2 linked regions of the Lonchura striata genome follow. The protein of the gene in region 1 interacts with the protein of each later gene in a pairwise test. Links are inferred from orthologs where the notes say so. Each region holds a gene or a part of one and is shown in the gene's direction. Other genes may lie near its edges.

The links.
Region 2: the proteins of NUDT21 (region 1) and CEP126 interact in a two-hybrid assay, tested with the Homo sapiens proteins (2 studies listed by BioGRID and IntAct). The link is inferred for Lonchura striata from reciprocal best matches to the Homo sapiens genes NUDT21 and CEP126.

Annotation. Positions count from the first base shown.
Region 1 is NC_134615.1:15,560,075-15,576,276, reverse strand, and holds NUDT21 (cleavage and polyadenylation specificity factor subunit 5), read left to right. Parts: upstream 1-7,859; 5' UTR 7,860-7,972; coding exon 7,973-8,088; intron 8,089-10,217; coding exon 10,218-10,418; intron 10,419-11,530; coding exon 11,531-11,594; intron 11,595-12,254; coding exon 12,255-12,344; intron 12,345-13,003; coding exon 13,004-13,079; intron 13,080-13,473; coding exon 13,474-13,588; intron 13,589-14,821; coding exon 14,822-14,843; 3' UTR 14,844-15,114; downstream 15,115-16,202. Other genes in the region: prolyl 3-hydroxylase OGFOD1, read right to left, coding at 284-445, 958-1,016, 1,812-1,934, 2,712-3,007, 3,139-3,218, 3,535-3,648, 3,985-4,110, 5,116-5,207 and 2 more. UniProt on the Homo sapiens protein: Component of the cleavage factor Im (CFIm) complex that functions as an activator of the pre-mRNA 3'-end cleavage and polyadenylation processing required for the maturation of pre-mRNA into functional mRNAs.
Region 2 is NC_134604.1:42,127,921-42,143,995, forward strand, and holds the start of CEP126 (centrosomal protein of 126 kDa), read left to right. Parts: upstream 1-9,963; 5' UTR 9,964-10,032; intron 10,033-10,834; 5' UTR 10,835-10,907; coding exon 10,908-10,960; intron 10,961-16,075. Other genes in the region: ANGPTL5 (angiopoietin-related protein 5), read right to left, coding at 2,003-2,103, 2,874-2,967, 3,344-3,447, 4,404-4,551, 6,267-6,368. UniProt on the Homo sapiens protein: Participates in cytokinesis. Necessary for microtubules and mitotic spindle organization. Involved in primary cilium formation.

The DNA of each region.
Region 1 (16,202 bases):
TCTGATGGGTCAGAGATGCCACTGTGCTGCTCCCATGAGAAAACAGCTGGCAAGTTGTGTGACAACCACAGAGCCTTAAAAGCCGTTGAGAGTGTGTTACAATGGACACAGGATAAGTCTGATTTTCCTTTTTTGCAGTTAAAAAAACCACCTGCCCCCCCCCCCCCCCCTCCATTAAGCAGTGTGATTGAATTGCATGAGCAAAGTTTGTCAGCTTAATGTCTGGGTAGGAACCTGTCCACCACCCACTACTCTTCTCTGTGACAGTGGTCATACTACACCATCACTCATAATAGACGAAGGAAAAATCCCAAAATCCTGTTCTGTTTGGATGCTTGTTCAGGCGTGCCAAGCTTCGATGGTTGATGTATTTCACAAACTTCATAGTTTCTTTGTCTCTATAAACTAAGGCCAAGCAGTTCTCCTCTGGATTCACTGTCAACAGCTAGGGAATACAAAGATAAGGAAGTAAATCAATTTCACAAAAATAGCTTTAATAAAATTCTTCAGAAAAAACAAAACTGTTTCAAAAGTTAGTTAGAACAAAGGGTTGGTGTTAGAAAATGCACTGTGACACTATTTTCATTTTAATACCCTTTACCTGAAGCATTGTTATACATTAAGGGCTTCTAGTACTGATGCTGAATGGGATCCCAGTGAACAGCACTTCCCTGGGCAAGTGTTATCCCTGCTACAGCCTTGTGTCCCTTCCAGGCAGGCTTCCCAAACAGCCCCAGGTGCAGGTACCATGAGGCTCTCTCAGGGCCCAGGTCTCATGCTTTGTGTTAACAAAGCTCTGAGGCCAGAGCTTTGCCCACGAGCAGCGACTGGGGCAGGGAGGCTCCAGTGCGCAACTGAGCGCCCTCAGCACTATGCTGGCATTAAGACAAAGTGTAATTATGTCTCTCCACCCTATACAGTTTCATCTGATTTGCAGCTAGCTACTGAGGTCCTTACCTCTTCATCTTCACCTTTAGCAATGTAGGAAGTAAAGCCACCATATTCAGGATCCCACTCTTAAAATAGAAAAGAAACATTCTTAGAAACCACAGTGCTGTTCATGCTCCACACAGCCTTCCAGGAGATGCCATTTTTCACCTTGCTCTCCAAAGTTACTGGATACAGGGTAAGTATTTACCTCCTGCCAGTCTATTTGTTTTCTTCTGTTCAGAAACAACTTGAAGCAAGTGTACTGGATTTGCCTTTTATGGTAGATGAGCTATTTAAAGTTGCTTGGTGCACCGCTCCTCACCTGTAGAACAGTTCTACCCTAGCAGATATACCAAAGGATTTCAGTCAGCTGTACATTTTGGCCTCATCTGGTCTAAAATGCTTGTGGTTAATTTTTTTTTTTTTTTTTTTTGTTTTACCACTATCTAACTAGCAATCAACCCAAAATGCCTAGGTATGCCTAAAGTAACTTTTGAAAACGTTGACCTTTGTGAACTGGACGTGTAGTAATAATTCTGATGAGAAAAGGGTAGAACACTCCTGGTGGGTACTGTGGCCACCTGAGCCTGCAGCGCACCCAGAGCCATTGCTCAGCCTTTCCCCCTGTCCAAGCGCCACCTCCTGGCGCAAGCGGAAAGGCCAGAGATGATTCCAAGGCCACAATCCCAAACTTTTCCATGAGGACTACTGGAAACAGGGTTTATGCCGAAGTGAGGACTAAGACAAAGTCTACAGAAACCTTCTATGCAGGAAAAAGCAGGGAAATTTTGTGTGTTTTAGAACTGCTGACCACTCAGAAGTCATTCCTTTATGCAAGTCTTGTGAAAGGAGAGTCTGACATCTCTCTCTCATCCACTTACCTTCACAGCCACAAAAGAAGAGCAGATCAAGAGCAAATTCTGTGGCTTGAGAATCATGGACAAGAGTGTAGTGCCCGTGGGTCCAGCGTCGCAGCTCCCCCGCACACACAGGAGTTCCTGAGCCTAGGAGAGGGCACAAACACCCAAGGGAGAGCCATGAAGGCACATCAGCTGAGCTCAAAGCGTGTGAGGAGCTCAGTGATCTCACACCACTGTGAGATTTGCTCCATACATCCTTTGGTCCTGGTAACTGCTCTGATGGGATTTTTTAAGTAGGACTTGTTTTTATATTACCTTTTATTCCAGTGTCCACTAACTTGTCTTAGTGCAAGATGAGCATTTTCAAAAACTCTACCTTTAAACTTCAGAGCCACTCTTTTAAATAAACATCATCAATCAAAACCCAAAATTAATCTAATCTTTCATAGTTGTCACTGCTGACAACTAAATTCAACTAAGGTTGTTTAGGCTGATGGTGTTTTCTGAAAGGTTGAATCCTAGTTTTAGGTATCAATTTTCTAATTCTAAAATGGTTTTACTTCTGACCTGTTCACCTGTCTCTTTTGGATTTATTATCTCATACAAGAATATGCTTTATATGACGTAGGGGTACATGGATGTAGAAACCATGTAACTATTGACAGAAGATGAGCAGTCCCCCCAAAAGTCCCACCCTTAGGACTTAGGTCTGTTCAAAATGGCATCTTCAAATTATCATTGATTTACTCCAAATTCTTTTGCAATGGTCACTGATTTCAGATAATCAGTCTAAAAAGCTTCAAGTCCTATGTTTGTGCTGGTTGCACAAACAAGGTGAAACAAACTAGGTGAAGCACTAGTTCCATGAAAATCACTGGGAATTTTGTTTGAATCCTTTTTCACTGCTGCTGCTCTACTCACTGCTCTGAGTCTCGCCATCCTGTGCTTCAGGGGTGTTCTCAGGCTGGTGTGGCTGATGGGGATTGCCATTGGCTCGTTGTTCAGTCTCTTCCTGCTCAGATTTGGGACTGCTTTGCCCACTGGTGTCTGCTGCTTGTCCCTCCCCAGCATCTTCATCCTCATCAGAGGGAGCCAGGAAGTGCAGTTTTAGGCCAGTGAAGTTGGAAAGCAATAAAAATAAGGCCTCAGAGCGAAGTAGCTGCAGGAATTTCTTCAGGGTGTCAGGGAGGCTGTGTTCCTCTGCTGCCTCATAGAGTCTGAAAGACAGCAGATGTATCTCCTTGTGGGAGAGCCAACAAGGACCACATCTATAACAATAGCACTGACCAGTGCAGCCTCCTGGCAGCTCCTGCTCAGCACACTGGTGCAGCGTGCTGTCATTCCCCACCTTTTATTGGCTGGCCCTCGACTACTCCAGTGGATCTCTTTGTTCTCCAATGCTTCACATAGTAGTTGGTACTTCTCTTTCTAGGAGAAAGAGATGCAGAAATGTTAACATTTAGCTCCTAAGAAAACAAGGTTGAAGACAAGTGATCTATTTTTGCTGAGTCCTGATGCAGTGGTTTACAGGCAGTCAGAGGGGATAATTCCACAGAATCAGAGTGGTTTTTGGTTGGAAAGAGCCTCTGGAGGTCACCTGTCCATTTTTAGGTGTGAAACTTAGAAGGTGTTTTGTTTTAATGGATGTGCAAGGAAGTCCTCTCCCAGCCTTCGTGCCATGTAGTACCTGCCAGCCCTCTGACCAGTTCTGGCAGATCACATCAAATTCAACCACTGGGCTCACCTTAAGAAAGTCTTTCAGGAGAATTTCTGATCGCTCCTCAAATTCCTCCTGGATTTGAGCTTGGGAGTCCAGGTCCAAATAAACTTGATTGATCCACTCATACAATATTTCATGCTGGAAGGGAAATGGATTAGAACACTGAATTTTCAGAAGTGAAGAAGATTCCCTAATTCCTCCTACTGAGCTGGCCACAGAGCTGGATTCCTACACACAAACACACTCCATTGCTTTATTTCCTTGCACCACAGGTATTCACCACATTCTCTGAACTACTGTAGGTATGCAAAACATACAAAGATGCCTAAGAAAGAAACTGGATACAAATTTATCAACAGGAAATGAAAAGGAGAATGGGATAAAGATTAAAGCATCCCCAGTGCATTGATGCATTCCCCAACAGGTATTACAGGAACAGGACAGAGACAGAAATGCAGATATACTGTTACTCACATCATAGGGGATGTGTGGGCTTCTGGCCAAGGGGGCTTCAATGTGCCGTGCAGGTCTGGCCACAGGCGAGCCGTGGAACCAACCACTCACTGACAGGCGGCACTTCTGCGACACAACTTCTGACACCTGCAACAACGGCGGGCAGCACGTCACGGGTCAGACCAGGCGTAACCAGTGCCAAGCAAATTCATAACAGGAGATGGACTCTGCTCCAGAGAGCCCACTGCACACACAGGTATGTCAGACAGATTATCAGAGAGAGGCCTATTGTCCTGAAGTCCATTGCAGGTTTCCAGAATTCCAGTCTAAGCTTTTACTCCAAGTTCACAGAGAATGCATTCTCTCTCTTACTCTGGGAGATTTGAGTAATGGATTTTTAAGACAAAATTAAACCCAAGTAGATGCTGCTCTTAATTAACAACTGTAAGACATAAATGACACAAAAACAGACCCCTAAGTGGCCTATGTCAGGACATGCCCAACCTATATCACTGATCATCTTCCTCCCCAGCCTTCTGCTCTCTGGCCTTGTTTGATGTCCCTGGTACTCTCAGGTACACAGGAGTGTCAGATTTCAGTCAGGTGTTTGTGTCATGCAGCTCCCCAAATTATTCATCCTGTTCCCAGGCTTCTTCCCGACAAGTGTCACAGAGTATTCCTTAACTGTATCAGCATTTCTGCTGCAGGGTACTGCACCATGTCTGTGCCACTGAGGGTGTACAGCCAGATCTGCAAAGTGCCCTTGCACTGTTGGCAAGGTGATGAATGGCCTGAGGAGCTCTTCTGGAGCAAAGTCATGACCACTACATCAAAAATGTGAGCTAGTTTAAAACAAGCTAACAAACAAGCGAGAGCTAAATTCAAAGCAGTGGCTTGCCACGATAGTAACACAAAATAGAAATGGAAATTTTTCTTTCACAGGATGATGCAGCTAGACTGATGGTTTAAAGTTGGCTTTGTTGGTTCTTGTCCTCCTTCAAGTCCTTGAAGCCCTTCTTTAGCACACAGCACTTAGCACAAGTATCCACTCTACCCACCATTCTTCTCTCTCCCCATCAGGACAGTAATAACACACAGAATGAATAACCACAACAATGAGGATTAAAAAGTTAACAAGAGAACGCTCCTTGCCTGATGGAAAGAGACTGGAGACACTTCAAAGAAAACCAGTGTGTTCCATGAAGGCACTAATGACTTGGTGATTTGCTGTGGCTGAAAGTGTTCTGAAGAAGAAAACATACTCTGGTTAAGAAAGGAACTGGGACTTCTCTCTGACAACATGATTCTGTGACTGGTGGGACACCTGGGTATAAGGCATGGAGCTCAGAGCAAGGGCTTGGTGAGGAATCAGTGCATCTCTGCATGGAGACAGGAAGACAGAGTTGGGGCTGTTCAGCTTGGAGAAGAGAAGGTTCTAGGGTAACCTAAAGCCTCTTCCAGTACCAAAAGGAGCTACCAAGAGTGCTGTAGAAGGAGTTAGGACAGACATGGCATGGAATAACAGAACAAGGGAGAATGGCTTGAAACAAAGGGTGTGTTTAGATCAGCTATTAGAAAGAAATTCTTCACTGTGAGCAGTGAGGCACTGGCACAGGTTGCCCAGAGAAAGTGTGGATGCCCCATCCTATAAATGCTCAGTGGGGTTTGTAGCATCCTGGTCTAGCAGACCATGTCCCTGCCTACAGCAGGCGGGCTGGAACAAGATGAGCTTTAAGATCTCTTCCAACCCAAACCATTCTGCGGTTCTGCTGCTGGAAAGGGAAGTTTTTGTCATCAGTCTGGAGTTCCAAGCACATTTACTGGCATCACTTCCATCTTGCCTCTACTCCTGACCCCTCCAAAAGTTTGTCTGCTGTTGCCTGTCTGCAAAGCCTATCCCTAAGGGGCACACTTTACATCAGCTTCTCCGAACAAAGGAGAAACTCCTTATTTCCCTTCTACTGTTTGGGGTGAGAGTTGCTGCAAGGGGCACATAAGCTTCATCTCCTTCATCTATCTGAGGCTGAGCTTGGAGCTTTTACCATCTGTGCTGTACAGATCCAATGTTCCCCCGTCACTTTTCTCCCAGGGTGGGACGAGGTATAGGATGAAAGCGATTCTCCGACCTTCCAGTTCATCATCGTGGCACAGCAAGACATCTGCAATTACACATGTTTTGCTGCTGTAGCATCTTTCCAGTACATGCATCATTCATGCCAACAACTGCTTCCCAGCTTTGTCCCCGCAAGGATACGACAAGAAAAAACATGTTCTTTCTAAGAACTACATTTTCACTCATTGGCATCAGCAGCCTGAAATCTGCAAGATTCACTTCTGTGGGACTGCACTGCAATTGACAGATCAGGCCACTCTGAAGGTACAGGCAGTTATACACCAGCAACAGTTGTTTCATCATTTGTACTTCATTTTCACAGTTTTGCTGTTGACAGCCTCTAGGACCCTCTGGAACTAGCATACAAGTAGGTGTTCTATAGACGTTTTGTTCCCTACACATACACAGAAGCTCTAGGGAAAGGATCACTTAGAGACTGACCAGTATATTCATATTTAGCACAGGATATGTCAATAGTTGGCTCCAGCACTATCTGGGTCACATCAGAAAGCCACACTTGGAATTCTTCACACAGTGCATGCCTGAGAAAATAAGCACACAGTAAGTGTCCTATGTTATAAAACATATAATCATAGACTAAATTAATGTATTGCCTCCCTGCTAACTGTTTAAATGGTTACAGGTGCTGTTGCTGTGAGTGACAGTGTGTTTCTGTAGGATCACACTGGCCAAGAAAACAGCCCCGTGCTCACAGCACTGCTGGCAATAATCAGCAGCAAACATGCAACCAGTGGGAAGGTGCACTGTGAAGCTTGTCAGAGGTGACAGCTGCAGGAGAGCTGAATATGGATGAAAGCTGAATAGACTTCATTGCCCATGACAAGCACAGAGCAGATCCAGCTCTCCACAGCCGGTTTTTGGCCCGAGTATGGGGGCAGAAGGCGGCCCACCCCGCTTTCGCTGTGGAGCCAGCACGGCTCTCCCCCCACCCTGAGCGGGCAAAGCCCCGAGCCCGCGCTTCACCTCAGGGCAGCGACGTGGGGCTCCGGGCTTGCCCCCAGCTCCTCGGACTGCGCGGCCCATGGAAGAGAAGGGACGGGGTTAGCGTGGCTCGGCCCGGCCCAGCCCGGCCCGGCTCAGCCCGGCCCCGGGCCCACCTGCCGCAGCGACAGGAGGTCGTTCCGCCGCCCGCGGAAGCCGAGGCCCAGCAGTTCATCCCGCAGCGCCTCCGCGAAAGCCGGGTCCGCCAGGAAACCGGGAATGACACCGTGCCGGAACGGGGCCGGCTCCAGCACCACCGCTTCTGCAAGGGAAAGGCCGTCGGTGAGGGGCGGGGAGCCGGGCCGGGCTGTACCGTGCCGGAGCCGCTCCCCGCGGGCCCGGCCGGACCGTGCCGTGCTGTACCGTACCGTGCCGGAGCGGCTCCCCGCGGGCCCGGCCGGACCGTGCCGGAGCCGCTCCCCGCGGGCCCGGCCGGACCGTGCCGTGCTGTACCGTACCGTGCCGGAGCCGCTCCCCGCGGCCCGGCCGGACCGTGCCGTGCTGTACCGTACCGTGCCGGAGCCGCTCCCCGCGGGCCCAGGCCGCCCCCGCGCGCTCCCGCAGCGCCGCGTCCCCGAGGGCCGCGCTCAGCTCCGCGCGCGCCTCGCGCCTCCCGCGCTTGGCCGCCGCCGGCGCCGCCGCTCCGTGACGCTTGGCGGCCATGGTACCGTCCGGCCGGACTACAACTCCCTGCGGCCCCCGCGCTTCGCCAGCGATGGCCAATCGTATCGTGCGGGGAGCCGTTGGCCAATGAGCGGGAGGGGCGGGGCCGGCGCGGCGGGTCCCAGCAGGCGGCGCGGCGCTGAGGGCTGGGCGGGCGTTAATGGCGGACGGCGCTCCCGCCGCCCAGAAGTGATTGAGCGCTCCCGCCGCCTGTTCCCGTCGCTTCTCGCCATGTCCGTGGTGCCGCCCAACCGCTCTCAGACCGGCTGGCCCCGCGGGGTGAACCAGTTCGGGAACAAGTACATCCAGCAGACGAAGCCGCTCACGCTGGAAAGGACCATCAACCTGTGAGCGCCGCCTCGGGCCTGTCCGGCTCTGCCCCCGCCGTCCCGCCCCGCTGGCGAGCTCATCCCCGCTCCCTCGGCAGGCTCGGCGGGATTTTCCTTCCGATTCCGCCGTGCGAGGTCCGGAGGGTCCTGGCCCTTCGGAGGGCTGGGGCACAGCGGTGGCAGAGCCCGAGTGCCGATGGGGCCCGCCCCCCTCACAGGGGCTGCTGAGCCGCGCTGAGGGTACCGAGGGCTTGCCGGCCTTCGTGGGAATGTGGAGGATTTGGTGTAAATGTTTTAGTGCTTAGAAGTAGCGTCTGGCTCGGGAGTTGTGAACCCCAAGTAACACAGGAAAGGTCTAGGTGTGGTGAGCATCACAGACGTTTTCTTGCTCTCACAGGCATCCGGAAAGACGGCAGAGAGAGACAGGGTCTTAGCCTCGCTGGGGTTTGAGCTGATCCTGGGCAGTCAGTGGGATGTGGCTGGATGTGCCTGGTGATTGTGGATTATCTGGCACAGGTGTTGGAGATAAAATTCGGAGTGTTTCCTACCACAGAAATTTGTAATAGAGACAAACTACTTACTAATAAGTATTAATGTATTTTTTATGAGAAGTCATATATTTTTGCTTCTTCCAGTAAATCTGGTGGATTTGGGACGTGTTCTTTGCTATGTGCATATATCAAATTGCAAAAACCAGCAAATGGTAGCTGTAACAGTCAATATTTAATTTTAGCTATTAATCACTGACACTTTTGTGTTTTTTTGTGTAGCTGAGTTTATTCACAGAGTCATGTGGAAGTTCAAATATGAACTTCAGAAACTGCAATATTTCTATCGGGTTTCTGAAGCAAAGACTCATAATGAAGCTGTGTTACCAGCAGCATTTTTTTTAAGTTGAAGCTGAGGGTTTTGATGTACAGACTAATGCATCCACATTAGTATAGTATGGGTTAGCTTAATAGGTTATTATTAAAGTAATTTGTGTATCTAAGAATGGAAATGAAGAGAGAAAGAAATGTAGATGGTTTTAGACTATAAGTAAAAGTGGGGGAGCTTGTTAGTAAATGAACCTGTGGTTTGGAAGCTAGTTGTTTTGTCTACATGAGAAAAGGCTCCAACAATGGTAACTGGCTTGTTATTTTAACCACTGTAAAACATTAGGAAAATTGGAGGAAGAGGAGGGCTGGAATTTGAGGAGAGAAGAGCGTATGCTACTAAAGTTTGACATGTCTGGGGAAGGAATCCATGCCAAGAAGCATCTCAAGGAAAACATAAGACAGTCATTCATTCTGTTAATTCCATTGCTGTGTGCCACAAGTCAGTAAAACCATGGTGATAACTCATCGCTGCTCTGCCCAGAACCATTTTCTTCTCCCTTTTGACTTAGCTGGGTGATTCTGTCTTTCCTCCAGGCCTCCTGCCACCAGACCTCTCTGTTAAATGGATTTAATTGTACAATAGCACTCCCCTGTTGCCCTCTTGCTGTCTTGGGCTGACCCATTTCTTGCCTAACCTTTCCTTTCTTTGTTTTCAGAAATCGACAAGTTTCCACTGCACTGTTACAGGAGTGCAGGCACCCAGCACCAGCCCAACAGAGGGATCTGCTCACACTCTTGATCCTACCCTAGGTTCCCAACCCTGTACTCAGAAACTCAGCATGTCTCCTCTTCTGTGATCCACATGTCTGATTTCCCACTTCAAAACAAAACCACTTCTAACAGTTTAGTTCTCAGGCTTCATTATATCTGCAGAAGAAAACCTGCAGTCCTGTGCAGCTTCCTTCCTTCCCAGGAGAGCTTTTTCTCCAGTCTCTTTTCCAGCTCCTAGCAGAGTTTCACCTGCCTTTTCCCTGCAGCATGGAGATCAAAGAGGGTGGCTGTTGAACAACAGTTGGTTCTGTGCTTCTTTTCCTTCTTTTGAGCCTACACCAGGCTAGAGTGCAGCTCAACAGGACTGTCTGTGCTTATTTGTTCTATAGTGCAGATCTCCCTGGGACAGGGGCCTCATAAGCCACCAACAAAGATTTTTAGCCCTGCACTATGACTTTACCCATCAAGCAGTGAAGGATCTGTCTCAGGGTAGATGCTGTGTCATGGTGATTTAAAGTTAGATTTCTTGTTACGCAGTAACATTTTTTCTCCTTACAGGTATCCTCTGACGAATTACACGTTTGGTACAAAGGAGCCTCTGTATGAGAAGGACAGTTCCGTGGCAGCTCGGTTTCAGCGCATGAGAGAAGAGTTTGACAAGATTGGCATGAGGCGGACAGTGGAAGGAGTTCTGATTGTGCATGAGCACAGGCTGCCCCATGTGCTGTTACTGCAGCTGGGTACAACTTTTTTCAAGCTGTAAGTGTCTGTTTCCTAAGTGTAACTGCAGTTTATTGTCACAAACCAGTAAATGTGGGCTAGAGGTTAAAAGACATAGTTGGAAAGTATTTTTTGAATGGTGTGGTTTCAATCTAAAGTGTGTTTGACTCTGCTTGTGAGGGGGATGATTTAGTTTGGAACTGACTGGGAATCTTAGTTACAGTGCATCACTACAGTAAAATCTTGTTTAAAAATCATTACCAGCACTTGATGTGTTGTACTTGCATTGTGAAAGCTGCAATGCTTCAGTCGCTTATGCTGTGCCTGTAAAAATGGGCAAGTGGAGGCCAAGGACTAACCCCCTGTAAATGCAGAATGATACCTGCTTACAAACTAATAGCTGAGCTGGGATAGCAAGAAAGGTAGGCATCTAAATCTGAGAAAATTGCTTCAGTTCATCTCATAGTTATCACAGCCAGACTGAAGTTCTAGTGATTGCATACAGATGTAGTGATGGTGGTGATTTTATTTTTTATACTAGATGGCCTTGACTTGTCTCATGTTACCATGCTTGTGTTCTTGTTCTTCTGTTTTAACATTTTAGATTGTTCTCAATTTTGTGTGTATGTTAAGTAATTTAACTAATCTAGATTAGTTTTTGGCATCTTGATTTGAAGGGCTGTTGCAGACTAGACAAGAATGTAAACAATTTGCAAAATGCTGTAATGATGAAAATTAATAATCCTGCATAATTTTCCCACATGAGTTTTATTTTCTGCTTTCTCTATGCTTCAGTTAGTGCTGGCTTTGTGATAAGAACAAATACAGGCAGTATTTACAGCCCTTCAGCTTCTGGTTATTATTATTAAAACTTTACCCTATAAGGGACTGAGTTTTTATCATGTGTATTGTTATAGTTTGTCCTGCTGAACTGAAAGTATTTTATGTAATGGTTATTTTTTATGGGATGTAAATAGCCATTTTAATTTCAGTTGAGGTGAAAGCTATGCTGCTGTCTTTCAATTCAGCAAAACTAGATCTCTAACTCCTAACTTAAGAGCCATAAGCCTGGAAGCACACTGGAACTTGGCTGTGAAGATTGGTAAATGCAATAAAATAACTTTGACTTTCATCATTGATTATTTTAACAGACCTGGTGGTGAACTCAATCCAGGAGAAGATGAGGTGGAAGGGCTCAAACGCTTAATGACAGAGGTCTGTTTTCTGTCATTATATTGCTGTAGGAGAATGTTGCATTATTTTAGAATTACCAGAATAAGATAAAGATTAGAGTAGTCTTCTTACCATTGTTGTTATTTTGTTGCTTTTGTGATGTTCTCAGGTAGTTAACAAATAAAGCAGTCAAGTTTTCATTTATCTGCATCATGAGTGTGGCTGACTCCTACCTGCTGCTCAAGTCCTGTGTTCATTTGCAGCTTTGCTTTCTGACTGGCTTCAGGCAAGTGAGTGTAGAGATGAGCAATAAAATATATTGTGGAGGACAGCTGTTGGGGACTTGCCTTTGAGATAGTCCTCTCAATGCACCATTTTCTCCAAGTAGCTAAATTAATTCTGCTAGCTAATGTAACAATGTATTGCATTCTTCCAATTGGTCTGATAGGACTCAGTCCAGCTGAGTACAGCATAGATTTTTGAAAAGCTTTCTAGAGTGTCCTGGTCTTACCAGGTGAAGCTTTTACTGAAAAATCTCACTTTATATAAAAATACTCTACAGTTCTATTGAAAGCTGTCTCAGAGCAGTTATGAACTACATCAGACATATATTGCAGTAAGTCTTTCTGTTTCTAGTATGTGTTTAATAAAAGAATTTCCTTGAGGTAGTTTGAGGTCTGATTAGTACTAGATTTTTGATAGATACTGGGTCGTCAGGATGGTGTTCAGCAAGACTGGGTGATTGATGACTGCATTGGCAACTGGTGGAGACCAAACTTTGAACCTCCACAGGTGAGTACTCCCGTGGGCTTCCATCTTCTTTGGTCAAGTTCTGTCTGTACTTCTAAAAGCCTTCAACCTTCCAGATGGGCTTCTTGAGTACCTGCTGCATGAGCAATTTGTTTTTCTGGGTTTTGTCTATTTCATCTCCTTTCTATGACTGAAGAGAAACTACAGCCTTTTTTTTTAATGGAAATTCCTGTCTTCCTTCTCACACCTGTCCTGATGGATGAGAAACCACTAGATGTAGTAGCTTCCAGTTCTACATTGAGACATATGCACCATTTATATTCCTTTTGTAGCCACAATGGAGATTCTTGTACTGCTGCTTGTGGAACATGCCCTAGTCTCACTACCCTATTTCTAAGGGCTTTAATATTGAAAATCTTTGTTTAGTTTGCTTAGTTTGCTTTTATGCATTTCTGTTTTATTGGGTTGTTTTAACTGCTTATGATATTGATGCCACTTTAGAGCCTGTCAATAGTTGTGACAGCAACAGCATTCCTTTCCTAAGTACTTTCTTATGAAAATGGTTTTATTTGATGCCATGAAAGAATAATATATGACACACTGAAAACTTGTACAGGGCTTGATAATTTATAAAGTAGCATTTAAGATTACATAGTATTTTCAAAGCTCTGTACAACTGTTTTTTACCATTTTTCTTCTAGTATCCATATATCCCAGCTCATATTACAAAGCCAAAAGAACACAAAAAGCTATTTTTGGTCCAGCTTCAAGAAAAGGGTAAGTGTTTGTTTGGATCAAAGGGTTGTATTTGTAACAATATTTAAATGCCTGCATTTCACTCAAGGAACACAAAGTTGTGATTGTGTATGTTGTGGTATGTTATACCAAGATGTGTATGCTTGCAGTTGTTTGTGGTTGATCACTAACAAAGTTAAATGCTGGTATTTGTTTTGAAGGTAGATGATCCTTTGAACATGACTTCCTAGTAAATTTTTATTCCTGCTTGCATCAGTCTGTGTACAGGATGTGAATCCCATATTTAACTAAAAAAGCAATAAACCTGGTTGAGTGCTCTATGTAGTGAACTTGTTTTGAGGTCTGTGGGGAATGATGATCCCTTGGCTGAATGTGTGCTGGTTTTTTTGATTCATCAACTTGTATTTGTTTTTAGCTTTGTTTGCAGTCCCCAAAAATTACAAGCTGGTTGCTGCACCACTGTTTGAGCTCTATGACAACGCACCAGGATATGGACCTATTATTTCCAGCCTTCCTCAACTTTTGAGCAGGTATGTTGTATTTGTATAGTGGCTCTGGGAACATGGTTTCCTGTGGGACACCAGAGCAAAGCAAGGTGCTACAGAAACCAACTTGAAAAGGTGGCATCTATCCCAAAGATTCTGCTTCAGATGAACTGCATGGACACTTTTGAGGCACTGATCACAACTGGCTAGCACCAAAGTCCTACCTAGCAGCTGTAGTTAAGGAACACATGGAAGATGTGAGGATGAGGCTGTGCACAGACTGAGGAGCAGCTTCTTGTAGTTGTTGGAGACAGCTGGAGAGTTAAAGCCAGGATGTAAATTTGAAGCACTGAGTTAGGTATGCATATTATCACAGCTTTGTGCTGGTTAAATGTGGTGGGTTTTTTTACACTCTTTAGTAGAGCTAATGAAGTGTAGCATCTTTATGACACAAATATCTGTAGGGACAGCTGTATTTTTTCCTTTCTCTTGGAATGTATACCATGCTTTGACTTTATTACCTGGGAATGGCTGTGGCTTGTCTCTCCAGAGCTCACTGGTCTCTTACTTGAGAGCATGTTCAGGCATACTAGGAGTCCCACAGCCTGCCAGCTCTTCCTCAGGGAAGTAGTTCTGTCACCTACCTACTATGATGAAAAAAGTATGTTAGCACTGGTCTTGCACATAATCTTATTTCCTGCTGAGTATTTTTCTCTCTAGCCCAAATTTTGGCTTCCCCTCCTCTAAAGACAGCAGGTATTTCCTCTTGAGTACCAGCCAAACTGTCATGCAGGTTGGGTAGTGGTGCAACAGACACATGCAAAGGCTGGGCACCTGGAAGCTGAGATGGATTGCTTGCTTCCACAGTTATTTATGAAACTTAGCTGGGAAAAATTCTCTCTTCAGTATGTTTGTGTGTTCCCCTTGGAACATGTAAGGTTGGTCTAGTAGCAGAAGTGCTGCAAAAGAGTTGCTGATGGAGGAATGTAACTCTCACTGTGATTTATGTATCTGTGACCTTGTTTTAGGACATGAAATGTTAATAGTTAGTTCTTCTCAAACCATAAGAGACAGTTGTGCAATGCTAGTGTAGGATTGGCTGTTAAAAATGATATATATACTGCTATACTGTAAAGCTGTCTTATGAAAAAATGTACTTTTGTCCTGTCAGGTGGAGGCTTATCCAGAGCAAAAACAAAACATTTGCTTATTCATTCAAAAATGCCCTTAAAAAAAAGAATCAAAATTCCTCACTTGGTATAATCCTTTTAATTTTAGGTTCAACTTTATTTACAACTGAGTTCCTATATACCTGAAGACTCCAGTAGAAGAAGCCGTCTCTGTGAGCACAGCTTTGAACTGTAGAGAAACGAATATGTGTGACACAAGGATTTTTTGAAGTCTTTCTGTTCCTGAAGACCACTAAACATTCTAGGGTATGAACAGAGAAGTGAATTTCAACTGTTTAGCTAGAGAGATGGCAATGGGCTACCAGTGTTATAATCCCTTATCATTGTAATACTCACCAATTTTTTGTTTTGTACAACATTAAACAATATGGTTAAGATTCAGTTTGTCTTGGGTTTGGTTTGCTTTTTGTTGTGTTTTTTTTTAGGTTTTTTGTTTGTTTGTTTGGTTTGTTTTTCCTTCTGTTTATTAGTTCTTTTATTTTTCCTTATTGTCTCTTAGATGCATATTTTAAGCTTTATTATTTTCTTCAGGAATACAGATGATCTTGGAATGAGGAGGAGCTAAGCCATTCAGGGCCCATTCAGATGCTGGGATCTTTATCCGTGAGAAGGGAATATCCCTAGGATCAGGGAGAAATGAAATAGCTTAAGTGGATTCAATATTGTTTTAAGTCTAACTTGGAGACCAGAACTGCTTTTTTGAGGGAGAATGAGTACTTAAAGGCAAGCGTAGCCTTTACCTTTTTTACCAGAACCGATCGGTTTGTAACAGGGCTTGGAGGAGATGCAGCATGCATCTGTTCCTTCAGTGCCCCCTTGAGACAGTAACAACCCCAAAAATTCTGTTGGACTGGTCTGAGCTGCAGTTAAAATTGGGAAAGTGAGGTTAATTTTGTATATTTTTTCTTAGCTATGGGACAGAATTAGGGTCATGCTGAAACACTTAACCAATGCCACATGCAAGTGGTTCCATGTTATGCTGTCCTGTGCCGTCTCATCCTGCAAAAGATACCCACTTTTGCTTTTTCTCAACATTTCAGTTTCTTGTAGGCAGTAAATATCAATCTTTCTACTTCTGGGGATTTTACATGCTTGGCTAAACATAAAGTCCATTTGGATGTGACACTTCACAGTGCTTTTAGTCTTCCATAATTTTGCTTAATGAATGAGTCTTTGAAAGATTTGTTTCCAAGTTCTGCCTGTGATCAGAAGATGCACTGTTGCTTGTGCACTGTCCTCTTTTATGAAGGCAGGGTTGGAGAGCACCTGCTGCCAAGAGAACCAAATCTTGCCAAAGTGCTTGCTTCTGCTGCCATCTGCACTGGTAAGCAACGTACAGAACAATCCTGACAGCTTGGTGGTCAAATTGAAGCTGTGCAGTATGGCAAATGTACTGCAAAATGCTGGGAGAGTGCAAGGGCTGTTCACTTTGGTCCTATGGAAGGAAGGCCCAGACAGATGGTGAGTAG
Region 2 (16,075 bases), on another chromosome or scaffold:
AAGCCTATTTGAGAGTAACTTTCAGAGATGATAGAAACCTGCCACTATCACTAAAGCTAGGTATTCTTATTGCTCCTGGAATCTGGAGTTCAATTAGCCCAAGTTAAGCATCAAAATCTATACTTACTTTTGGAAACATGATGTATCAAACATGAAAAATAAGAATAGGATCACATTTTCTAAATAGTTTTTATTTCATTGATCTCTTTATGCATATTATTCTAAACATATTTTCATTTAGGTTCCATTGCATAAAAAATCATCTTATTGCTGCAAAGGTCCTCATTGAAACAAATTGTTTCATGTTCGGTTTGTTTCCTGTTTTCTAGTTTCTTACTATGATTTTCTGCCTCTGTAGTTTTTCTTATTTTGCTGGTCTGCAGGACATTTAGAACTCAGCTATTAGCCTCCAAAAGATGCTTTATAATTTCTTGTTTATATACTAATGTCTTGATATTTTTGTCTATCATTTCTCTTGTACTCCTTTTATGCTTCAGCACATGAAAGAATTCACATTAAATAGTTTTCCATAAAATAACATTCTTTATGGAACACATATTTTAGAATTTTTTTCTCTGAGAGCTTTTTGGCACTGTCTTTCAAGTTCTGTGCAACATTTACCAGACAAGTAATGAGACACTCATGATTGCTAACATTCTTCTCAATATTTATTGTTACCTTGTTCTTTTAATCAAATTGCTATGATTTTTCTTTTGTATTTCTGGAATCACCTTAAATCCAGAAGAAATTCTGAAATAGATGCATTTTTTCCTATGGTAGCATTTCTTCATACTAAAAATATGGTTGTTCTGTGAACACTGCAATGTCTTTGCTTTTCTTTTACGTGGAAGGGACTTAATGATGAATTACAGATAAGTTTCCTGAGCTCACTGCATTTTATGGAGAGAATGACAGGGTTTTATATCAAAGGTTGTAGAATCAAGTTCATTTTTTTCTTTTGGGATGCCAGCATAATTCTGAAACCTTTTATTAACCAGTTTAAGCTCCTTTTTCTAGCATTTTGAAGGGCTCCACTTGGCCAGAAATAAAGAGATTCATCCTTCCTTTGTTACACATAAAGGAACACTATAAAGTTAGATATTAAACTTTGCTAGTTATTATTTGGCTGAAATTCCTTGTTTTTTCTTCAAAAAATAATGACTTCAACCTGTATGGCAAAGTTGAAGGTTTGAAAATGCCATATCTACATTTCCACTATGCATAAGGCCTTCTCTAAATAGATCAACATGAAATAGAAATAAAAACATTAAAAAATATTCCTTGCGTTTGCAAGGATCTTAATATTCTGAGTCTGAGGAAATTAACTCAAATTTCCCTTCTTCTATATGAGCACTATTAATTGGAGCAATTACATAAAGCATAGGCAGTGATAAGAAGCATGTTTGCTGCAGTTTATTTTAGGGATATATATCCTTGTTTTAGGAATATAAATCCTGCAAACTGGATAGGAAAACCACAATTTTAGATGCCTCTGTGCCTCAAGACTGGATTATAATGATACTCAGACAAGGTTTCTACTCCTCAAACCAAGGCACATCTGCACCTACACCTGGATGAATCTGCATCAGCAGAGTCCCATCACAAGACAAGGCAATATTACACAGCAGAATCACTCAAAATCTAAAAGTCCCATCTTAAAAGACAAATGGATCAGTCACTCGCTCTTCAGTTTTCCATCTCTAAAAGAGAAAAGAACAGCTTATCTCCATATCCAAGAGGTGCTGGAAAACACCTTGGGTTTTCTTCTGGTATTTTTCACTGCATATGAAAACAATGACAATGGGTTCTTATGACAGAGATTAAATTTCTTTGTAGAAAATACAAAACTTGTCAAAATTATAGTAAAAGCACTCATGTGCATATGATTCAATACATTTTTTATTCATCTGTTGAGGATGAATGGAAAACATTTTAAGTCTATTAAAAATATACAAAATGTATATTCTCAATCAAATTATGACTATAATAATAAATGCATTACCTCAAAAGGATAATTTGATCCTTCTGGATGGATAATGTACAGACCACTTGGAGTTTTTGAAACTGAACCAACAGTATCTTTAATATGAGTGCAGTCCAAACCTACAGAAAAAAGGTACTCAAGGAAGTTCATGAGCAAAATATTTTTTAAAAAAACAGATTAATATAGGAAAATTACTTTTTTGGTGGCATGAATTATTTAAAATATAATTTTCTTCTCATGAAAACATTAAAATCATGCTTTGTCATGAATTTATCTTGCGAATTAAAATTCTCTAAACACCATCCTACTTCTAAGTTATTACAAATAACACTGTATTGATGCAGTTCTTTCTAATCTTAATAGATATGATACATACCTACATGAAATTAAAGATTATGTATCTGAGTAAATTTACATATTTTTTTCATTTTATTTATAACACCTGTACTGTGAAAAAGACATATTATCTGAGAAAATAAGTCTTTTTTCTACAGATATTTATACTTGTAAAGGCCTTTCCATCTTAAAGTACATATGAAAAATATTCCATTTGAAGAAGGATACTGCAGATGCAGAGCACACCATATTTCATTGCAAAAGAATGTACTATTTAACAGCCTCAGATCACTTACTAGCTAAAAATCATACTTGGTGTTTTACATAAAAATCAGCATGCTAAATGGGATGCCCAGAGTTCTCAATTGCAAATGATTTAAAGCAGTATTTATGATAACACTTTTAAACAGTTTATTAAGTTTATAGAGTTTATATGTCACTAACACAGGACAAGTGTCAATGTACAATTGCTTACCTTTGCTTTAATTAGCTCCTTTGCAAGATACAAAGATGAAAAGGGAAGGTGTCAAGACTATCTCTGAAAAATACTTACCATGAGATTGAACTGCTTTATAAGGAAGTGGATCCAGATGTTTTCTCAGAATTACGGTGTTCAAAAGAAGAAGTTTGTTCATAAGTTCATTTACCTGCAAATTCAAATAAAAGATCTTTAATTAGTTTGCAATGAGAAATTTTACATTTTAAAGATTTTTCTGACTCCTAGTAAACATAATGTGAAGTTAAGTTTTGTGATGTGTAGTAATTTGTACCAATGTGAAGGAATGGTCCTCCACTTTCCCTACTGCAATGTATGACACTAAGGTGTGAAATGGGATGCTTACCACTCCTCACAGAAATGGAAGCCACACTCTACCACAGCTACAAGGACTGGTGATAAGACACTCTAATTCTGGTGAATTAATGACAATTCAATGGTTTAATGACCCCTATTTTTCCTCAGAAAGATAACACCTGCTGTAAAAAATAACAAATACAAATCTTTATAATAAAGGAAAAAAGTACCTGATTAGAAAGGTAATCTAGCGAAGACTGTTGATCATCCATCATGTCTCTTACCAGTTTTTTTGTACTTCTGGCATATTCAGCAAGTGAGTTCTGCAAATTTCCTTCAAAAGAAATATGTTCATCCACTTTGTTTTCATAAATCCAGAAATATTCTTGACTAAATAACAGCATATTTATTTATGACATCTAAGTGAATACTGAAGGTGTTTTACCTTACAGCACCTAAAAGTGAAATGAAAGTAATACAGAGACCACAGATTAAAGCCAAAGGTGCTAAAAACTTCATACTTTCTGATTGCAGTACAGATATCTTAAGAAGTGATGGTTCTTCTCATGTTTTGGAGAAGAAATTAATCTTATCCTTGGGTAAACTGGACAACTCATTAATGGATATCACAGAAATATAAATGCATATGATAAAGGGCAGATCTATATAAGGTTTCTTGTCACCTTACATTTGCTCATTCATGGTACTACTCCTGGTTTTTGCTCTGATGCTAAAAATCTTAATGATCATCATAATGGCATATAATTAATAATAGATATTTTTAAATCATATGTGAAAACCAATAATTTGCACAATTATTTTCAGAGGCTGATTGTATAATTTGCTGTAAGTTTATCAAGCTAGTGCATAGAGAATGTCCTTTGTAAGCCTCCATAAAAGTAAGTACACATTTACTCCCATGTAACTAACTAATTAATTAAATCCCACTCACACCCCCACATCCAGCTATGACGTTTAATGAGGAACAGACATCCTCCTCTTCCTCTCTGCTTGAGAGAGATGCTGACATTCAGAGGGCAACAGCTGTAGGTGGGTTGTGTGGCTGCTTGGATCTGCCTGTCTTCACCAATGTCTCACACCAGCTGCATCCCTAAAAAAGGGTACCCCAGATTTTCTGGACAACACACAGTTTTGGAAGCAGGGTCACAAGGCTGTCACATGTGCTTAAGATTAAAAACAAAATTGCACAGCATAGCATAGCAGAGGAGAGGATTGCATAGCATAGCACTGCACAGCTCATCACTAAAAGTATTCTTCATGAATACATACTGCACATGTAATGTTTGTCCCCTCGTAAAATTTTAGCTTGAGCATCACATGGTACAAGGCATTGTTCTTTTTGTTTTGAAATATCTGCAGATTTATTTTTCTCTTCTGCCTGGAGTGGTTCCTCCACAGGTCCAACATTCCTTGTGTCCTGTTGTACCAAATAATGGAGGGGGAGATAAATTGAATATAAAGCACGAATAAGATAGCTCAGTCTGTCAAAATGGAGTATACTGCTTCACAGAACTTCCTTCAAAACATGTTTTTTAAAAGCTTTATCAAGCAATAATTGACAGAGCTGAGACCAAAACTGATTAGATGTTCTCTGCTTAGCCATACCTCTCAAAAAAAAAAAAAAAAAAAAGTAGTGTCAGAGGTAAAGAATAACCTGAATAAATTAAAAAACCACCACCACCATTTTGGTGAGGTATTCTATTTGTAAGCACTGTAAGTGGGAGGCAAGAACTTGCAAATTCTGCATTTTAGGAATTACCACACCCAATGGACAACTCAAATGCTAATGAACTTATTTTCACTGGAAATGAGCAGGCTTTTGGATTTACCTCATATTAGCAAAGTACTTTTACTCTTGAAAATCCTTAAGTTCATTATTTAGACATTGATCAAGGAAGTAATTGCATAACTTTTTAACTTATGCACACAAGCAATCACGAGAAGATTTGCAGACCAATTCAGCAGTAAAAAAATATTTCAATGTTCTTATAGGGGAAATAATAAAGGGACAGTATGCATAGGCACACAATTATCTGAAACAATAACAATATAGCATTAGTAAAAGTAGTTCCACCTATTCCTGTTATTTTAAAATTTTATTTTCATATTTAATAATTTTTCTTCCATGGTGCCATATGACATAAAATATGGGAATGCCTCTGAATCATCACTTAAAGAAATTACTAAAAGTAATTCCCAAAATATGTGTCATTGTCAAAAGACTAAGCAACATATTTTCATGAGTCTTTGTTTGATGATATCATCATCTCAGCAAATAATTTGTAGTATGTTCATACATTGTGTTTCCAAATGTAAACAGGATGCTTTAGAAATGTCAAGATTTTAATGAAAAACAAAAGTTATTTAGACTTGAATACATCTTCATCAGTTGTTCTTTTCTGCTCCAGTTTTCTTTCTGCAATTGGTACTACACCAGCCAGCACTGAACAAGGATTTTTCCCCTGGTTTTTGTTCTTAAAAAGTGAAAGTAAAAATTACAGAAAACTGTTATACAAAGAAATTTTACAATAAAAGGTTTATAAATTACTGGTATAATTGCATTTTGTGCCAGGAGAATGACAGAGAAGTAAAAGAATAAGTTTCTTTAATTTTGAAATAAACACAAAATAAAGAAGGAAAAATTATGCAAGAGTTATAAAAAGATCTCTAGAAACTTATAAATAGAACACTTGAAAGTATGGCTTGTTTCAGGGCTATCACAGCTACTCACCAGATGTTCAATTAAACACTGTTAAGCAAATATTTTTAATCAATATTTATCTTTAACAAAAGCCAACATGAAATAAGCAATTAAATCTGTTCTCAGCAATTCAAGCAAAAACTAACTCTGCCAAAACCAATAGTTACTCTGCATTTAAAGTCATGCATATGAGATTAAAAATATGACATAACCACTGAGCTGTCATACAGGACTCAAAAATGTTCTAATATACTGAATTCCTGCAATTTCAATGTAGTTTCTTTTCTCTATCTGAAAATACCTGATTCTTCTGTATTTCCATATCAGTCTTGAATAAGGCAATCCATATTTTTAAAACATCTGCCACTTTTCTGAGAAATCATTCAGTTACATTCATTATCTTATCTGAACAAAGTAAAAGAAAATCTTACCTTAGGTGAACAAGGTTCGCCATTATTTATCACAGTCTTTCCTAAACTGAACAAAAAAATATTAAGACAAATAAATGAAGTTACCCTAAAGTGGCGGTTCATCTTTTACTTGAAGAAATGCAAATGTTTTGATGGGTTTCAAATTTCTGTGGAAAGAATTGTACACTATGAAGGCCTGATCTAACTATTTGGGAATGTCTACAGCACAAAGGACAGCCAACACATCACTCCTTTACTGCCTGGATTTAATAAACCACATTTCAATTGCACAGTAGATTTTATATATTACTACTTGAATCCTGAAGGAAAATTACAGCTTATCACCTCTACATGACACATCAAACATATATTTTCATTGTCATAAACTCTGACAGATTTTCTTATATGCTATTCTTGAGCATTTTTGTATATTTGGCATGAGTGTTCTGGGTTGCTTGAAAGAAAAACTAGTATCACTTGATGTTTTCAGATTTTTACCAAGTTTTTTTATCATTAAAATGAAAGAGTCTGTACTGCTGTGGTGATAGTGCACTAGAACAGGATGTGGAGGCAGTTTTGGAATATGTCATCAAAGTAATTTCAAAATAGAGAACTGAATAAACATTATTTTAAATTAATACTTCGTATTGCATAGAAAATCTTTTACCAGGAGAATAACAGCAGTATGTTGGTTTCACCGGTAGCCCACCCATTGTAACACAGGTACTGAGTCTGTCATTCAGTACAATGATTTTTATCTCTGAAAAAAGTCAAAGTACAAGAGAATGGCATGAAAAAGAAGAAAATTAAATGCTTAATTAAAACTATGGGGCACTTACAGATTTCATTCAATTCCACTACTTTTGTATCTTAAAACTGGATCTGACAGTCTAAGAGGAAAAAAAAGTTCACAAAGGTCAAACATACTTAGAGAATTTAGACACATTAGAGAATTTAAATTGTTTGTGATCTGGCTGAATAAATGAAACCTCAGCTTCCAATGTACCACTGGGAAATACACTGTCTAAAGGATCTTTAAAATACAGTGTTAACCTGCATGTTACACCGGAAGAAAATGTTTCAAATTTGGCTTGATAATGTGATTAATCTCCACCTCTATCTAAAGCTGGAATACACTGGAAATAGTTTTTGCTACTAAGACTAGTTGGGAGCAACCAATATTTGTTGGGAGTGGGGATTAATACACTTTTTAATCCAATGTTTTCTTTGAAAATTAATACCTTAATGGCACTAAGAACCTGTAACTGAGAGGAGTATATTGAAATGCCTGTGAAATTCTGAACAACTTTGGCTCTTCTGTATTTCTCAAAATTATTTTTTTTTTTCTAAAGTACCACATGGTACATAATAGTTTTCCAATATGAGAATTACTAGGGTTTAATTAGTGCATCACTTGATGCTCTCTCCAGAAGATGCAGGTTGTGATCATTAGTTCAGTCTAAGGAAAAATGTGAAAAGATTTCCATGGCTCTCTATATATCACATTAAGGGCAAACTAACAGTTTTTCTTCTTCTTTCTATGTACATCAATAGGTAGAGTGACAAATTTCAGGCAGGAATAGTTAAAATAGTCAGAACATTATCTTCTCCCATGCAGTTGCCTACACAGCTTGAAGAAAAACTATGGAGCATCAGCAGATTAATCCTCCACTGGAATAAGAAGGAAAGAAAAATGCATTTCTGCAGCAGCACAGCTATGCTCTAGCCTTCAAATAAGACTTGTAATAAATTCAGAATACATCCCACAAAGTTTTAAAAGCTGATCTTATCCTTCACTGGAATATCAGTGTCCAGCCCAAAGTAAAATTTATGAAACTTCTTTCAAACCAGCTGTCAGAGCAGGACCTTCCATTCTGTAACTACTTAAGATCAGGTTTCTTGCTGCCCCAGAATAATCATACACTTCTGAATTACATGGCACTCAGCTTGTCACCTTCTTGTCCCACAGTCTGAAAAATGTGAGGTTACTCATGAAGAGAAATTATCCAATAACCACAAAGAAGGACTATGGAGACTTAATAAAAAAGTAAACAAGATAGAAATATATATAAACACTGAGGAATTTCTGAATCTCAATAGGTATCTTAAGGTGAAGCTGCAAGTTGTGCTGTATTACATGAAAATTTTCAGCAAATCTAAGGAAGCTCAAAATCTGTCAGTGGCTTGAGTTGACCATGACCTTCAATCTCGTAGGTTGAAGTGATGTGCACGGGCCCAAATTCTGTCATTTCCCAGCTCTGTCTCAGTTCTGATTGGGTGACTCAGTTCTCCATCCTGATAAAGCCTTCTACTGCATCCTAAAATAAACAGTGCATTTTATCAGGCAATCTGGGAATTTAAATGTGGGGGGGGGTTGAAAAGCCCACAGTGGTAAATTGACAACCACTTTTCCCCCTTCTGCAACAAAACAGAACAGATGGGGCAAAGAAATGGTGAAATTTGGGTTGATTTTTTGAAGCAGAGTTGAAAGACTTCCATTTTAGGGTGGTCTTCTAAATGGCAGTAACTGGGATACTATAAATATTGAACACATTTGGCAACCTGCCCACCACTGGTCTTGACCGTAAAATGGTAACAGCAACACCCACTTCCCAAACTGTGCTACAAATATGAGGGAGGGGTCTGTGGAGAAAAGTATTTTACAAATGCGGAGTACTATTTTTTTTACCTTCCTAGTCAAAGACATAGAACAGCTGTACACTGGGAAAAAAAAAAAAAAAAAAAAAAAAAAAGGAAGAATTGGTTTAAGCTCAAATACATCAGCCAAGAAATGTCTCCCCAGGAAATCACCAAGGCATTTAGCCTGTTGCTGACAGCTCATCCAAGGCAGGGCAATATCCCAAGACAACACCCTGCTTTGCTTAAAAAAAAATATAAAATAAAAGGGGGAAAAAAAAAGGTTTTGTAGTCATTAGAACAAACTGGAGGGTTTTTTCGGTTTTTTTTGGTTTTTTTTTTTTTTTTGTGTTTTTTTTTGTTTTGTTTTGTTTTTGATTTTTTTTTTTTTTTTGTTCTTTATGTAGCTGTATTCATAGACTTGTAAATATTTTTTATATAATAGTCATCATTTTGTGCATCAACTGATGCACAAAACATCTTTGGTGGTGGTTGTTGCTGTTATTTCTGCATCCTGTGTTTAAAAAGAAAAAAAAAAGTTTATGGTGTTATCTCCAGGTCTTCAAGAAGCCTAAGAGGCACCCGCACCGCAGAGCTCTGCAAAGCCCGCACACGGGGCCGGGCGCAGTTTGCCCACGAGCTCGCCCGGACCCCGTGTGCTCGGGGCTTTTAGAGGTCATGCCGCGGCTGCAGAGGGTGGAAAGCGCAGCGAGAGCCGAGCACCGTCCCTGGCAGGGTGTCCGCACGCTCTCCCGCCGGGACGGGACAGCGAGGAGCGGCTCCCCCGCGCGGCTCCCACCCTGGCGGCGTGTCACGGTTTGACACGAAAGGGAGCTCAGCCCCACGAGGACCGCCGGGCGCGGCGGCTCCCGGCCGCCGGCCCCGCAGGCGGCGAACGCGGAGCCGCCGAGCGCGCTCCGCCGCGCCGCTGCTCCCGCCGCGGCCCCGCCCCGTTGCGAAGGAAGCGGCGCCGCCGGTTGCTACGCGGCGCGGAGACGCGCGGAGCGGCGCGGCGGGGCCGGCGCTGCATGGAGCTCGGCGGCACGGAGCTCGGCGGCACGGAGCTCGGCGGCACGGCCGGCGGGGCGGCGCGGGGGCAGGTCCCGCCCGGGGCCCCGCAGGACCGCGCGGGCGGGCAGAGCGTCCCTGCGTATCCTTGCTGCGGCGTTTCCCGGGCCGGCCGAGCCTGCGTGCGGCCCGGGCCGCGCCGCTGCGTGCGGCCCGGCGGGCGGCGGCGGGGCCGGGGCCGGTGTCGCAGCCCCCGCCCTGCCCCGCGGTCAGGGGCCGCCTCAGGGGCGTCTTCAAATTGGAACTTGCACGTTGCGGGTTTGAAACTGCCGTGGGAAAGTTGACTGCTCCAGCAGCTTCGGAGTTCTCTTGTTTTCCCTTTTCTGGGAGATTATGCCACTAGGAATAGGGTTTTCCATCCTAACTTGGGGGTTCTTGTTTTTTGAATCTTAGTAGTAAGAACTACTGACGCAAACTCTTAAGATTATTTACTACGTAAATAATTACTGGCATGATGCAGGACTGACCTGGCTCTCTGGAGAGCTTTTATTTAGTGATGTTAATCAATTTCAGTGAAAACAACTAATCCTTTAGGGTGTGGGAGTGTGTGTGTGAGGGGATGTTTACTATTTAAAATTTTCCTTCTCATATCTGCATCCTTATGTTACAGGTTTAGGTAACTACACAAAATGTCCCTTCAAATGAATATAATAAAGGTGGGATTTTTCAGCTGGTGATACAATGAAAGATGAGTGTAAAGCCTCTCCTAAAATGCTTTTTAAAAGTAAAGTGCAATTATTTTTTTTTCTAGATGAGCATAAAGTTAGTTATGACTGTAAACATACAATTATGGGACCTCCTTTATATAAGGTCAATCACACAGGCTGTTATATCTTTTAATGAGCTGTTCCATACAGTTTCTATTGTCCTTAACACAGTCTTAGGGGTGGAGATTTGATATTTCATTTTGAGCAGGATTTACAAGAAGAACGTCGGGCATTGAAAGAGGATCAAAAAATGCATCGAAGCAAGGCAATGAAATATTTGATGGAGACAAACAGAAGAAGAAGGCAAGTAACTAGGGTTCCTTTAATGGAGGATTGTAAAAAAAAGATAAAACCAAAGCAAAAGGAGTCATAACCTTGAGACAGATCAATATATCTCTACTATTCTCATGTTCATTTTGATAAATAGCTCACTGCTTTGGCCTAGAGGAATTTAAGCTGAAAAGTTTCAGCAATCCAGTTTCTTGCTATAGGACAAATAAAATAAAACGAGCAATATTCTGATTTGCTCACTAATTTTTGAAAACTCACTGTAGTCACATCTCATATAAACTAAAGGTAAGTAGTACTTTCATCTTGTGGCTCTGATCTGCATTTCTAGTGTTCTGGGTTTTATTAGCTTCAATGCATGTATGAAAAATGCACTCAGCTGTACAGAGTGGGCCAGCAGAAGGCAGTTGTTGCTTTCTGAAGTGTGTGCTTTTTTGTCTGCATGGCATAACAGCTGCTCAGCTTCCCCTTCATGCCAAGGCTTTGTGCTCCCATTTCCCAATAAACACAAAGCAACATTTTTCTTGTACAGGATAATACTTATAATAAACTTATTTTGTACATTTTAAACAGAGCTTTGCATAATCTGTCTTCTGCATACATGAGAATGCAAAGCCATGAAATATACTGTGGCAAATGGATTGAGTAAATTATGCACTGAAATGTCTCAGTGAAGTGCTGTGAGTAGTTCAGTGGGAATAGAGGTTTTTCCCCTAGGACTGAGGTGGTGCTCACACATACAGGGGGCTCAGCTGTGTGTACTGGAGAGGCAGATGGGTTCCTCCTTGCAAGCCCCCAGCCTCAGACCAGCTTCCTCTGCCTCTTGTTAACTCACTAATGCTTGTGCCCTGCAGTTCCCTTATCTGATGACTTCTGTTGTGCAATGTTCACTTATTGCATATGTTCATAACTCAGAAGAGAGGTGGTATTTATTGTTTATATTGCCATTTTAGCCTGACAGTATGTGCTGTCAACTTACCCTTTGAAATAAAAAGAAATGGAAGAGGAGATAAAATCAACTGTGAGTAATTAAAGACAGAGTGCGACCCACAAACTTTGCAGATAATAAACTAAGTCTCAGTTGAAAAATTAAATACCTAATTTCTTTTTCTGGAACAGAACCACTGCAATGCTACACATCTCAGATGAACACTGTTTATTGTAATACTGGTCTTGAAATATTATACTTTAATGTAAAAGCAAGTACCAGACAGCCTGCATATTTTTGACAGACTGGTGTAGTTAAAGTAATACTTGTGGATACATAAATACATTTCCATATGTATTTCATTGCAGCCTTAGGAAACACAGTATAAATCCAAGTTACTCAGGTGAGTCACTTAGAAATTTAGGTATGGTATTCGTAAAACAAAGTAATTTCAATTTGTGATAATTGAGAATGGCATAATTATTAGCACAATAAGCAATTCAAATGGAGTCTGTGGTAACAAGTGTTCTCCTAATAACTGAAAAGGAGTGAGTTAGTTAATGTTAGAAAGGTAGAAAATGCATACAATGTTACAAGCTGTGACATAGATAATTAAAAATCCTGTATATGTGCAGGAAAGTAATTTGAAAATAAAGTTCTTTGAATCTACATATTTTTTTCCTGGGATTTATGCAGGTATGAATTGATTAATCAACCCTCAGGTTGTGTCTCAAGTCTATATGATCCAAGTTCCATTAGCTTTCTTATACATGTGAAGGTGTTAGATGTGATGATGGTTTCTCAAGAGTAGCATGACGTTCTTAAACTCCACATTCTCACCTGGCAGCACCCAAAATTCTCCCTGCCAGGGCTTACAGGTGTATGTCAGGAGTGTTCTTGGCACTGCTAGTGTATGATTTCAAAAGAAAATTTGTATCTTTTGCATATTTTGTGTGGAGTGTAAGAATGAGTGCACTGTGAAGTGTGACAGACCTCTAACCTTCGCATAGAATGGTTGAGTTAGGACGGGACCTCTTGATCTGTTTGAACACCTCTACTCAGGAAGGACAATCCTCCACAACCTCTCAGGGCAATCTGTGTCAATGCTGTCATCCTTACCAAAAAAAAGTGTTTCCTGATATTCTAAAGGAAACTTCTGTGTTTCTGTTTGGTCCTGTCAGCAGGCATCACTGAAGACAGCCTGGCTGTCTCCTCTTTGCACCTTCCTTCCAGGTATTTATAGACATTAAGAAGATTCCTTTGAGCCTTCTCTTCTCCAGGCTGAACAGTCCCAGATCTTTCAGCCTTTCCTCCTAGAGAGATTGTCCAGTTCCTTCATCATCTCTGTGGCCTTTCATTGAACTGTCTCCAGACTGTCCAGATGTGTCTTGTACTGAGGAGCCCAGAGCTGGACACAGTCCTTCAGCTGTGGCCTGCCTAGTGCTGAGCAGAGGGGAAGGATCCCTTTCCTCTGTGTGCCTGCTAGGCTTTGCGTAGTGCAGTTCAGGATACCACTGACCTTTGCAGCAAGGTTGGTCCTTTCTCTCAAGTAACAAGTTTTACAGCATGAGAGGAAATGGCCTCAAACTGCATGAGGGGAGGTTTAGATTGGATACTATGAAATTTTTTTTCATGAAGATGGTTGTCAAGCATTGGAAAAAGCCCATTGGAGTGGTTGCATGTAGTATACTTCAATATGTGGTTTGGTAGTGAACTTGGCCGTGCTGGGCTTGTTTTTGGAGTTGATGATCCCAGAGGTCTTTTCTAACCCAAATGATTCTATATTTCTATGTTGAATGAAGGTGTTAAAGAGGATTTGGCCCAGTAGTGACTTCTAGAGTTCACCACTATGTACTGGCCTCCATTAGGACTTTGTGTCACTAATCACCACCCTCTGGGCCTGGCCATTCAGGACGTTTACATTCCACTTCACTGCTTATTCAGCCTCTCAGCAGCATCTCATTTATGAGGATCATAGAGGACACTGTACCAACAGCCTTAGTAAAGTCCAAATAGAAAATATCTACTGCCCTCTTCTCATCTGCAGGACTGTCATTTCTTTATAGAATTTTATGAAGTTGATCAAGCTTAACCAAATTTAGTGTCAACCTTAAGTTTATAAATTTTCTACTAAAAAAGTAAAAGCAGTTAATTCCCTTTAGGATGGAACACTAGTGACGATACAGAAGAGTTTCTGCTCTCTGTTTAATCTTGTGTCATTTAGGTTAATTCTCTTATGTTGCTTTGTAGAGGAAAATTTTTCTGTGGGTTTTTCTTTGTGATTTTTCTTCAGGAACCACTAACAGGCCTCCTTTAAACAAGGCTGTACCAAAAGATTCTAGCAGATTGAGGTCTTCTGTTTTCAACTTTTTCTATATGTACTGGTAATGAATTTTTCCCTGATGGTCTACTGTTGATTTATTGTCAATACTTCTAAAATGCAGCATCCTCAGCATTAAAAATAGTCAACTTCTACAAGCTGTACACAGTTAATCGGTTTAGTAGTAAAAACACAAAATCATCATTTGCTCAGAAAGAACAAGGATACGTTTGGAAATAAAAGTCTCAGTAACCTAAATTTCAGATCCTTTTCAATCCCCCTGATGTAATCTGTTTCTTTGCATCTCTTGTACTGACCAAGCTCCTTAATTTTGTTAACACCAGTACTTCGACATAGCAAAATACCCTAGCCTGCAGTTTTTACAAGTTGCCTGAGTTTCAAGAAAGTAATTTCTTTATTGTCTCACTGATACATAAAGTTGCAATTTCAAGATCAGATTAAGAATCAAATATTCTCTGGGGCAGTAACTGGCAGATATTTTGTTTAAATAACAGTATTCTGGAAATAAGAGCTAGTGACAAAGCACGTACTTAATGCAAATGAATAGGATATCGTATTTTATGTTTCTATAACATGCTGCTTTCTAAATACCAGCTGTCACTTTTGCTGGGAACTATAGATTTTGTGCTGTTACTGCTCAGTGCAAAATGTGTTTCCCATTTTACTGTGATGTTACTGTCTGCAGGTAGCCGGTTCATTCTGGAAATGCAATTGTCTATGTGCATTGTAAAATAAACCTTACAGCTGGTTGTCTTGGTTCAGCAATAGCTAATCTGTCTGTTGAAACTGGGGAAGGAAATCTGTATCTGTTTCCAGTCTGTTTCCAATCTATTCCCAATCTATTCTTCTTTCCGTGAATACTTTATTTTCAACATAAGCACAAGCTGTGTGCTCCACCTACTGGCTGATTAACATTGATTATTTCATAAATGCTCTTTAAATTATTCACCAGTTTTGTTGATTGAGAATGAAAAGCAGTCTGTGGCCAGAAATATGAGAACAGTGTAAGCACTTGGTAAATAGAGAGGCAGAGTGTTAAGAATTTTGTATTTCTTTCTACATCAGAATGGAACTGTGAAAAGTAGGTGATCACTGTAACCACTATGATGTGGACTTGAAATGCAGTATTGCCATTTTTGATAATGAGCCACAGGATTGTGCTGAATTAGCAAGGACTTGGAACAGATGCTTGCCAAACTTGCTCTCTTTGAACTTTTCTTGACCTGACAGCAGTTTTGTTTTGCTTGGTTTAGCTGTAACAGCAATTTCTCTAAAAGACCGGGTGTCTGTGGCTAATTTTGCCTTTATCTTTTTATTGTATGACCATAGTTTTATGTACATAGCAGTAAGAAGCAGTTATTCTATGCAGAGGATGAGATATTTATGACTCTAAAATCGTGAAGTAGTATTGAGAAATGCAGGCCTGGTATGGTAACAGAGGCTTTGAAAACTGGAGGTGTAGGATGTGGCATGGAGGAATACAAGCAGGGAATGGTAAGAGATGGCACACAGGCTTGGCACTGGAGACCCCATGGCTATAATCACGAACAGTCAGCTAAAAAAGTGCAGAACTAGATCTGACAAACCTGGCTTTTAGAGGTAACAAAGAGAAGAAAACAATAGTATATCACATACAAAGAAGGCACCATGTATGGAATATTCGGAGGAACTGTGGAGCTGCAAATTGATGATGATAGAGCAGAGGTGTAAATGTGTATTAGCAAATTCAGAAATTACTCCAAATGGATTCTAAAGTGAGGGAGAGAAAGCATTTACATGAAGATCCTGTTGGTCCTGCTGAAGGGACTCCTGATGCTGCCTGTTCACCTTTAACACTCCAGCACAAACAGAAACTACAAGC